Sus scrofa: one gene and its partners. The protein of the gene in region 2 binds, or shares a complex with, the protein of the main gene of each other region. Links are inferred from orthologs where the notes say so. Each region holds a gene or a part of one and is shown on either strand. Other genes may lie near its edges.

Region 1 (3,117 bases), on a different chromosome or scaffold from region 2:
CACACGGGTGAAGATGGGGGGCCACACTGCCCAAGAACACGGGTTCCCCCTTCCTAACCCTCAGGGATTGGCCTGGAGAGGGACACAGCCCCGGCTGAGACGGAGCCCGAGGCGCGCCTGGAGCCCGACGTGGGAGAGGACCGGGAGGACCTTGAATTTGGCCTGGACTGAGCCCACGGCGGCCCCGGCAGACACGGGTCTCCCCGGCTGGGCTCCCCTCCGCCAGGGAGCTGCTGGTCTCGAGTGCGCTGAGGCCTTGGCTCACTCCACCCGTGGGCGCGGCCTCCGCGGGTGTGGACAGCGTCACGCTCCCTGCCCCAAAGCCTACCAAACCCGGTTGTTTGCGGCTTAAACTGTGTAACTCTAGTGTCTCCCTTGAGCATCATAAACATTCTGGCATCCACGTGAGTCCCTGTTTTACTGGGTTACTGAATACACCTGCGAGTCACGCTAGACTCATTTCGGCAGCTACATCCCTCTTCACGAGTGATCGGAAACCCAGGTCGCGCCCCGAGTCCTGTGTCACTTCCAGGGCTGAGGCATCGGACCCTAAAACCACGTGAGATGCAGCCCGAGAAACATGACCGTGCAAAACGGCTCAGCCGACAAGTTTATTCAACCCCTAAACGGGGTCCAAAGTGCCTCCCCTACAAAACATCGGATTGTGACAGAAACTTCCTCACACACACGCAGGAGCACCAGCAGCTCCGTGGCAGCTCCTTTCACCATCACCCACCACGCAGGAGCCTGCACGGGCACCCCAATGGCACAGCGGCCGCGTGCAGCGGAGCCCTCGGCTGCCGGAGGCCCTGCTCTCCAGCCCAACACTGTGGTGGGAGGGGGTCCCGGCGCTGCTGACCTTCAGGCCGGCCTGGAGCGGGAGCTACAGGGGAAATGACCGGTTGTCGTCCTTCCTTCCACGTGGCTCCTCCTCGCTTCTGCCGCCTATGGTCTCAAAGGCCTTCAGGAAGCAGGAGGCGCTGCACCCTGGAGACTGCTCTCCATTTCCCGTTTCAACCACCAAAGGCACAGCGGGTTGGGGCGAGGGGCTCTCAGGTGGGCGTCTCAGGTGGGCGGCGTGTCCGGCCTCAGAAACCCATGCGGGGCTTCTTCCGCTGTGGCTGAGAGCCGGAGGGGACAGCTGCCGGCTGTCGGGGAGTGGCCCGGATGCTGGAGGCCTGGGATGAGGACACGGTGGCACCCCTGGGAGTGTCCCCTCGGAGCGGCAGCCTGACTGAGCAGTCCCGGAGGGCCTGCTTCCTGGAGGGGGTGGCCCGGATGCTGGAGGTCTGGGAGGAGGGGACAGAGGCCCCCCCTGGGGTGTCCCCTCGGAGCGGCAGCTCAGCCATGTAGTCGCGAAGGGTCTGCTGCCGCTCCGAGGGGACACCGTGGGCCCATGGCTCCTGGGTCAAGTCCTGGGAGGGCGGGGTCACTGGGGGCTGAGGCCGGGCCTCAGCAGGTGTCCAGTCTGGGCTGGGAGGGGGACTGGGGGCATCCGAGAGATCCAGGCGGCCGCTGAGTGAGGAGAAGGTGCTGGACAGCTGAGTCCGGCGCTTGGGCCGCTTGGGCTGTTTCCCGGGCCCCGAGCTGGGGCCCTGCCGTCTCTGCCACCAGGCTGCCACCCGGCCTTCCCAGGCTGCCTCCAGACGCTCGCTGAGCTCATCCCCGGGGCCGGGCTCAGGGGCGGGGGGCCGCTCCTCAGTGGGGGGCAGGCCCAGGTCCCTCCGCCGCAGGAGCCGCCCCTGGGCCATGGCCGCACGCAGGCCCTCGGGCAGCTTCCTGTCAAGCTGCTGTCGCTCAAAGCAGCGCAGCAGGCGGCGGTGGGAGAAGGTGGGTGCGGCCCACACAGGGGCAGCCGGGGGCACCTCCAGCAGGGCCTCCAGCCACCGCCTGCAGCGGGCAGTGGCCTGGGGGGTCCAGGAGGCTGTGGAGGCAGTGGAGTCGGGCCCGGGGTCTGCCTGGAGGTGGAGGTGCTGGTAGAAGACGTCTCCCGCTGCTGAAAGTTGGAAGAGTGACAGGGTCGACGGGGAGGCAGAGGGCGGGATGGTGGCGGCCAGACCTGGAGACAGAATGACAGTGACCCCACGGCCTGGCGGCTGTGAGGCTCTCCAGTCCCACTCTGTCGCCCCAGCGCACCTATGGTGGGCGCCTTCAGACGCTCCTGCAGCCGCTTCTGCCTCCTGGGCTCCAGCAGGGGGAAGGCAGAGAGGGAGTCGCTCCTGGAAGGGAGGGACTGGGGGGGCCCGGCCAGCCGGGCTGTGGAGGCCCCCTCTCCTGGAGGAAAGACAGACGGCTGAGGTCCTGCCCAGGCCCAGCCCCGCCCGCTCCCGCCCCCACCGGCGCCTGGCCCCTCACCTGCCAGCTGCAGCAGCTGCAGCTCCCCGGCCTGGCCCGCCAGGAGCAGCGGCCGCGGGCAGCCGGGGCGGGGTGGGGGCAGCAGCCGGGCCAGCAGGGGAGCGGAGGGCAGGCCGTGGTTCCACTTGAACAGGGGCACCAGGGGGAGGCGCTCATCCACCAGGTAGAGGGAGAACTGGGGGCCCGGAAAGAAGACGCGGGGGAGGTGACTGGGGCATGGGGGGGTCTCCCCGGGTGGCCCCATGGCCCTCCCCAGGACCCCACATGGCTCTGAGGGGTCACAGAACTCCCGGCCCAGCCCCTTCTCTGGCTCCACCTGTCCAGCCCTGCTCGGGAGGCCTTTCCAGAGCAGGCGGTGCTGGGAGAAGGGTCTCAGGAGAGGCTTTTCCCCACCTTTCCAGAGCTCACCCACCCTGGACCCATGGTTGAGACACACCACTAACCCCAGGGTCCTCGGGCGGCTTGGCAGGGGCGCTGTTCCTCTTTAGCTGACATGCAGGGGGGTCGTCCAGCTTTGGCCCCCACCCCCACCCACCCCCTGCAGTTGTCCTGGACCGTCTCCAGCGACACGTGAGACAGTGCAGGACGGAGGAGAAGGCCCCACTCACCTGGGTGCAGACGAGGTGTAGTGTGGCGAACAGGGACTCGGGACTGCACCCCCCCAGGTACTGGGTGAGCAGCACACGTTCCCCCTTCTGGCACGAGGCTTCGGCCCCTCCGCGGAAAAGCAGCAGACCGCAGCCCGGTGGGCCCTGGGGAGCC
Region 2 (3,748 bases):
TGCCTTTTTAGGGCCGCACATGCAGCATATGGAAAGTCCCAGGCTAGGAGTCGAATGGGGGCTGTAGCTGCCGGCCTACATACATACCAGCCTCAGCAACTCAGGATCCCAGTAGCATCTTCGACCTACACCATAGCTCATGGCAATGCCAGATCCTTAACACACTGAGCAGGGCCAAGGATCAAACCTGCGTCCCTATGGATGCCAGTCAGATTCGTGTCCGCTGAGCCACGATGGCAACTCCATGCTTATTTTTTCACTAAGTAATCCAAGTTTTACCATTTTTTAACAGCTAGTCTTTGACTATCAACCCAAGCATTATTCTCCACTTCCTCCTACCTCATATTTAGAAAACACAGTTAAAAGGATACATCTTTTAGTTCTTTTCTTGTACATTATTCTGTACCCACATTCTCTGCATCGGATGGGATCCCTTGATTTTATTTCATTTTCTGTGTGACATTCTAAAAGAGAAAACATATTTATTCAATGCCTAAAAGAGAAATAAGAGGCAAGCAAATTATCTTAATTATACTTTTCCCCCAAAGCACTAAAATATGTATACTAAATCTCAACATTATCAACATATTAAGGGAAAAGAAAGAAAAGAGTGGTGGGCAACGCACTTTTTCTAGGAGAGAAAATGAAATCTTAAAATAGTTGCTAAAGCGCTAACTTCAAAGAGGAAGGACTCAAGTAAAATAAAGATAAATGCACTATCTTTTTAAAAAACTGAGGTAAAATACTTTTATTTTATGTAAGTGCCACTCTTACCTCCACAGATATATATCATTGGCTGCTGTTTTGGGGGTTGAACGTCCTTCTGTGTGTCCATCGTTATCCCTGAAATCACAGATTCAAATACTGAACATCTTAAAGGGGCCCCTCACAAATCCAATCATGCCTTATTTTTCTCAGGGAAAGCTAAAAAGCTAAAAAGTTCCCAATTCCTAATCCGTACTTTTTAAAAATCCTACCGCTGGTTCTAAAGAATGAATCAAACCCACAAATAAGCATTTTGCATTTACCCCCAAACTGGACTCCATAAACACTTTACAGATTTCATATTTACACATGCTATTTCATTATAATCTCTACAACAATTCTAGGCGGTTAAATAATTACTCTTAATGAACAGATCAAGAAACTAAGATTTAGGGAAGGTTAATTTGGTCAGGATTATTCAGTAGTTAAAAGGCAGAGGAATTTAGATCTGACTGCGAAGCTCTGGTTTTCATTTAACACGAGTACAAGTACTATTTTTCTTTTTCTTTCTTTTTCTTTTTTTTTGTCTTTTTGCTATTTCTTTGGGCCGCTCCCACGGCATATGGAGGTTCCCAGGCTAGGGGTCGAATAGGAGCTGTTGCCACTGGCCTACGCCAGAACCACAGCAACGTGGGATCCGAGCCGCGTCTGCAGCCTACACCACAGCTCACGGCAACGCCGGATCATTAACCCTGCCCTGAGCCAAGGGCAGGGACCGAACCCGCAACCTCATGGTTCCTAGTCGGATTCGTTAACCACTGCGCCACGACGGGAACTCCAATTTTTCTTTTTCTTTCTCTCTCTCTCTTTTTTTTTTTTCCACCCGCGGCATGTGGAAGTTCCAGGCTAGGGGGTCCAATAGGCCTGACAGCCACAGCAACGCGGGATCCGAGCCCCGTCTGCTATCTATACCACAGCTCAAGGCAACGCTGGGTCGTTAACCCACAGAGCGAGGCCAGGGATGGAATCCGCATCCTCAAGGATACTCATCTGATTCAGTTCCGCTGCGCCACAAGGGGAACTCCCACAAGTGAAATTTTCCCAAAATTTAGCAAGAAATTGCCAAAAAACTATACCCCTCAACAGGAAAACATGCGAACCGAAGAAAAGGGAAAAATAATGAAATAACTCCTAACAGCTGAAAAGGCAGACAACCCAACAGCTAAACAAGCCAAAGGGCTAACAGCATCGACTCCATCCCCAGCCTCTCTCGACTCTAATCCCACACCGGACCTCCTGTAACCCCTAGTATCTTTCCAGTTTTGGCCCAAACACTCACCTTCCAATCCCAAACCGCCAATCCGCCAAACCCCTACCCACGGAACACGGAGAAACTTCCCGAGGCTCCCTAACAGATTCCTGAGGCCGCTGTGTGTCAGCCCACTTCCGGCACTGGCAGATGACGCAGGATGTAGTCTCCGCCCCTTCCGCCCAAGGAGTGGCCGAAGAACCCGGATTGAGCGCGGGCAGTTAAATTGGAATTATGTATGTTTGATTCGCTCTGTAGAGGTTCTTATTTGGCTCCCAACTATTTTCATTTTTCGGGGAGGCAAAGAATTTTAGCAGTTTCTCAGGTCGAAGGAGGTTTGTTTCTATGACAAATGAAGGCCGCAGAAAGTAACAGTTTTCCAAGAGGTCAGAGCGTTAGATACCCAAGTGAAGTGCTCATGGAATCCCTGGGCTGACCGTTACTCCAAAGAACGTGGAAGTATCGGTTTCACCGCTGATTTCCACGTAGAAGAGCAGTTTTCAGATTATGGATTTCAGATCGTTTTAATACCTGTGCCGCCGGCAGTGGAACAGCCGCCTCCTGCCCTTTGCATAATGTTTGCTTTTCGACCCTTTCTCACTTAGGTACCTGTCATCCTTCTCAGCCTCTCCTTTTACTCGTTTTAAAGCACAGGCGGACTTGCAGGCAGCTACATCCAACTACTGCCACTTAAAGCTGAGGGATTTAGGTAGTGGTGGCTGTTTACCGACCCTCCTTTGGTCCCATGTATTCTCTAGAAGAACAAAACGACCTGCTCAGTGGAATCCTTTCAAAGATCAAACTATTAGTGAGACATTATCGTTGGATGTACACATTTACATTCGTTTGCTTCTTTCATAGCAGGCATTTTACTAATATCAGAATGAGAGGAAGAAAATGAAGTTGTTACAATTTAGAAAATACATATTCGTTATCTATTACAGTTAATTGGAGAAGCAGGTTTCTTTCTTCCCAACATGCATTATTTTGGTTTCTTATTAAGCAGGCAATACTGCTCTCTGGTCTTCCATACGGAAACTTGGGAACTTTGAGCTTCGCATTACACTTCCAGGAGGAGTTCCAACTGCCGGCACCTCCACAGACCAACTTGAGAGATTTAACTCAATCTTCCCAGTCTTCTTAGCTCCCTGTTGTAAAAATTTCAGGAAACACAGTGGAGTGTCCTGCTTCTTCCTCCACAGACAGGCTAAGACAGAACATACAAGTATTTTGACCATCTTAAAAAATATCTCTCCTGTCAGCCAAAGGGAAGAGGTAACCCAAAAGAAGAATCAAAATAAGCTTTGCTCCAAGAAGTATTAGATAAAACCATTGTTATCATAAGAGAAAGATTATGGAGTGATCCAAAAAGTATAACTTTAATCATTGCAAGCTGACCTGGATTCCAACTCTCAAGCTTGAGATTTCAAGAAGATGCTGGCACTTAATGCAGTCTATGGAGATCAGGAGGAATTAACACATGCAGAATACAAACGGCTCCTGGGACCCTACAGAGGGGTAGAGTAAAGACAAGTTGTAGCAAGGAGATCCAGAATTTCAACAAGAGTTCATGTTGGGGCTAGATCCCAATCCAACACTCTTGTTCCTATGAGTAGGAACAGTAATTTTAGCATCATGTGGAGCATGGTCAGTGGAAGCTATTATCAGTGATGACAACTAACATTTCTTGAGTGCCTACTATGTGCCAAACATCATTGCATTGCCTTCTCCTAA
Region 3 (3,748 bases), on a different chromosome or scaffold from region 2:
GTGCCAGGCCAGGGATTGAACATTTGTCCCAGTGTTCCCAAGACGCTGCCCATCCCATTTTGCCATAGAGTGGAACTCCTGTATCAGTGATTTTTGCCTTCCGATGAATACAAAGTAAAAAATAGAAGTAAAAAATATAACTTCTACAATTTATTTGAAAATCAGTCATGGGAGTTCCTGTTGTGGTGCAGCAGAAACAAATCCAACTAAGAACCATGAGGTTGCGGGTTTGATCCCTGGCCTCGATTAGTGGGTTAAGGATCTGGCCTTGCCCTGAGCTGTGGTGTAGGTCACAGACATGGCTCAGATCCTATGTTGCTGTGGCTGTGCCATAGGTGGGCAGCTGTAGCTCTGATTCAACCCCTAGCCTGGGAACCTTCATATCCTGTAAGTGCAGCCCTAAAAAGCAAAAAAAAGCAAAAACAAAAAACAAAACAAAACAAACAAACAAACAAACAAACAAAAGGAAAAACAAAAGAACAAAACGAAACATAGCTCAAGCAACAGCAAAGCCAGATCGTTAACCCACTGAGCGAGGCCAGAGATCGAACCCACAACCTCATCGTTTCTAGTCGGATTTGTTTCTGCTGTGCCACAACATGAACTCAAAATACAAAAAACATTTTGATGCTGAAATTTAAACATATAAAGAGTGGGAACTATGATTTTTAATCTACAAATACCATGATCTCTCTCTTTTTTCTTTTTAAGGCTGCACCTGTGGTATATGGAAGTTCCCAAGCTAGGGTCTGAATCAAAGCTGCAACTGTGATCTACACTATAGACAAGGCAACAGCCACCAAAGCACATGAGCCATACCGGGTCCTGCAGAGAGCCCTTGCTTGGGTCGCAAGGCCCAAAGAATGCTAGAATTACTCCCAGAATATTTCGCTTTGTTTTCTACCACTGTCCAACCGCCACAGTGAAGTGCAGATTCAGGAACCGCTGGAGTTTGCAGTTCTCCAGTCCAAATAAATAAATTAGTACTCTATAAGGTTGGTCCGACTTCTCAGGAGAAACGCTCCCCGCGACTGGGTCCTGGTAAAATTCGAGACCAATAAAATAAACATCCCAGGACTGAGTCCTGAAGGGAAAAAATAACCTGAGGCAGGCGCAGCTTCGTCACCTATTTTCGTATCCAACGTAACAGAACCAGGCTGAAGGGGGCGCCACAATCTTCCTTCAGAACCGCTCCTCTCCCTCTCCAGGCTCTCGGGATCACAGTTGCAATTAATTATGACGTCACAGCCAATCGAGAGCCGGGACGCGTGGACTCTCTAGCCCGCCACGCGCTCGCTGCTCGGTTGCCCGCGCGGAGCCGGCGCTCTAGCCCGTGAAGTTGACTTGCTCCTCTCGCCTGCCCCAGGAAAGACCCCCAGCGTAGTTGTACCCGACGCGGGATAGGGATTCCGGAAGTTTGGGCTCCTTAGTCACAGAGGCACAAGGTATGCGTAGGAAGAAATCTCGGGTTCTGCATGCTTACGTCCAGGGACAGAATAGGCATGACCTCTCTGGGGAAGGGGCTACTCTCTTAATAAACTCCTCATCCCCTTCCCAGCCCTCGACCACCCGTCTGTCATGGACCTCGCCCGCACATCCTCTAGCTTTCAGTCGGACTTGGATTTCTGTCCGGATTGCGGCTCGGTCCTGCCTCTGCCCGGGACTCAGGATGCGGTCATTTGTACTCGCTGTGGCTTCTCCATCAACGTGCGGGGTGAGGTGCTGCTACGCCGCGGCTGGGGCGGAGGAGGGCCCATGGGGATCTCAAGATCGATTGGATTAAAGACGGGGACCCGAAAGCGCAGGATCAGGCACTTATACTTTTGGTCGGCACGAAACCTGATGGGTAGAATATAGCTTCCTGGCCTAACAGAGAGGGATTAGTGTGGTGTCAGCCCCCTCCGCTGTCTCCACAACCAATTCTTACTGCCCGCGCAGACTTTGAGGGGAAGGTTGTGAAGACCTCAGTTGTGTTCCAGAAAGTGGGGACAGCCATGCCTATGTCGATGGAGGAAGGACCTGAGTTCCAGGGACCCGTGGTAAGTGAATCACGTCGAGGACTGGCCCTGTAAAGAGGGTGGGAACGAAACGGAGGGCTCAGATCTGGAGAGTTTTGTACACAACAGGGAAGAAGAGTCTTTAAAACAGTAGTGACTGGGGAGAGTTTTCTTGTGGTGCAGCCGGGTGTTAAGGATCTGGCCGGCATTGTCACTACAGCGGTTTAGGTCGCTTCTGTGGCACGGGTTCGATCCTCGGCCTGGAAACTTACACGTACTGCAGGTGCAGCAAAACAAAAACCAGCAGTATCTGAGGAGTGTGGTAGCTTGATGTCTGTGAGAAGTAGTGGGAATTATTAACCTACCAGTTGCTTCCCAGGTTGACAGGCGCTGTCCTCGTTGTGGTCATGAGGGAATGGCATACCACACCAGACAGATGCGCTCAGCCGATGAAGGGCAGACTGTCTTCTACACCTGTACCAACTGCAAGTGCGTATCCTTTCCCTCCATTCTGCCCCTTCTGGGTCTCTTTGCTGCCAAAATCCCGTGATTTAATTTAAATCCAGTGGTTTAATTTTTGTACTTTTTGGACTGGTCGCATCCTTCATTTCTGTACAGTTCAAGTAATAGGTTTGTGATCGTTTTCTTCCTTCCTTCCATCCTTTCTTTCTTTCTTCCTTCCTTTCTTTCTTTCTTTCTCTCTCTCTCTCTCTTTCTTTCTTTCTTCCTTCCTTCCTTCTTTCCTTCCTTCCTTCCCTCCCTCCTTCCTTCCTTCCTTCCTTCTTAGGGCTGCACCCCGTGGCATATGGAGATTCCCAGGCTAGGGGTCACATCCGAGCTGTAGCCTCTGGCCTCACCACAGCAACAGCAACGCCAGATCACAGCAACACCGGATCCCAGCTGCGTCCACAACTTACACCGCAGCTCACAACAATGCCAGAGCCTTAACCCACTGAGTGAGGCCAGGGATTGAACCACATGGTTCCTAGTCGGATTTGCTTGTGCTGCTGTGCCACGATGGGAAGTTCTGTGGTCTTTTTAAATTTTAAATAATTACTCTTTTCCTATCTTTTTATACCCAGTGAATTAAACCTTTTACAATAGTTAAAAGGAAATGAGTATTGGTTTGTGATCAGTGTGTTATGTTGGACTCCTCCACTGCCCTCAAGGTAGTTTTACTTTGGTGAGAGTCAGTCATGGATGATTTAAAAAACATGGGTTCTTTATTTTTATTTCTTTATTTTTTTTTGTCTTTTTGCCTTTTCTAGGGCCGCTTCCCGAGGCATATGGAGGTTCTCAGGCTAGGGTCTAATCAGAGCTGCAGCCGCTGGCCGACGCCACAGCCACAGCAATGTGGGATCCGAGCCAAGACTGCAACCTACACCACAGCTCACAGCAATGCCAGATCCTTAACCCACCGAGCAGCCAGGGATCGAACCCACAACCTCATGGTTTCTAGTCGGATTCGTTAACCACTGCACCACGACGAGAACTCCCAGAACATGGGTTCTTTAAAACATAGTTTTAAGAATTCCTCTTTGTCTTTGGTGTCCTTCAATTTCACTACAATCTATCAAGATGTGGCTTTCTTTTATTTATCCTGTTTGGGATGTGTTGGGCCTTCCAACAGTGAGGGTTGACCTTTTTTCCCCCATCAACCTTGGAAAATTATCAGCTGTTATCACACTGAATATTTCCCTCATATGCTCAGTTCTCATATTCTTAGAGTTCTAACTGATTAGCTCTTTATT

Evidence for each region.
Region 1: POLR2K (region 2) and TAF1C share a complex: the UniProt entries of both Homo sapiens proteins name them as parts of the pol I pre-initiation complex. The link is inferred for Sus scrofa from reciprocal best matches to the Homo sapiens genes POLR2K and TAF1C.
Region 3: POLR2K (region 2) and ZNRD1 share a complex: the UniProt entries of both Homo sapiens proteins name them as parts of the pol I pre-initiation complex. The link is inferred for Sus scrofa from reciprocal best matches to the Homo sapiens genes POLR2K and POLR1H.

The regions. Positions count from the first base shown.
Region 1 is NC_010448.4:4,454,574-4,457,690, reverse strand, and holds the end of TAF1C (TATA box-binding protein-associated factor RNA polymerase I subunit C), read right to left. Parts: intron 3,108-3,117; coding exon 2,964-3,107; intron 2,531-2,963; coding exon 2,356-2,530; intron 2,275-2,355; coding exon 2,137-2,274; intron 2,060-2,136; coding exon 1,089-2,059; 3' UTR 582-1,088; downstream 1-581. UniProt on the Homo sapiens protein: Component of the transcription factor SL1/TIF-IB complex, which is involved in the assembly of the PIC (pre-initiation complex) during RNA polymerase I-dependent transcription.
Region 2 is NC_010446.5:36,850,438-36,854,185, forward strand, and holds the start of POLR2K (DNA-directed RNA polymerases I, II, and III subunit RPABC4), read right to left. Parts: upstream 2,186-3,748; 5' UTR 2,045-2,185; intron 844-2,044; 5' UTR 836-843; coding exon 775-835; intron 465-774; coding exon 372-464; intron 1-371. UniProt on the Homo sapiens protein: DNA-dependent RNA polymerase catalyzes the transcription of DNA into RNA using the four ribonucleoside triphosphates as substrates.
Region 3 is NC_010449.5:22,625,559-22,629,306, forward strand, and holds the start of ZNRD1 (DNA-directed RNA polymerase I subunit RPA12), read left to right. Parts: upstream 1-1,312; 5' UTR 1,313-1,445; intron 1,446-1,558; 5' UTR 1,559-1,578; coding exon 1,579-1,714; intron 1,715-1,938; coding exon 1,939-2,039; intron 2,040-2,376; coding exon 2,377-2,486; intron 2,487-3,748. UniProt on the Homo sapiens protein: Core component of RNA polymerase I (Pol I), a DNA-dependent RNA polymerase which synthesizes ribosomal RNA precursors using the four ribonucleoside triphosphates as substrates. Can mediate Pol I proofreading of the nascent RNA transcript.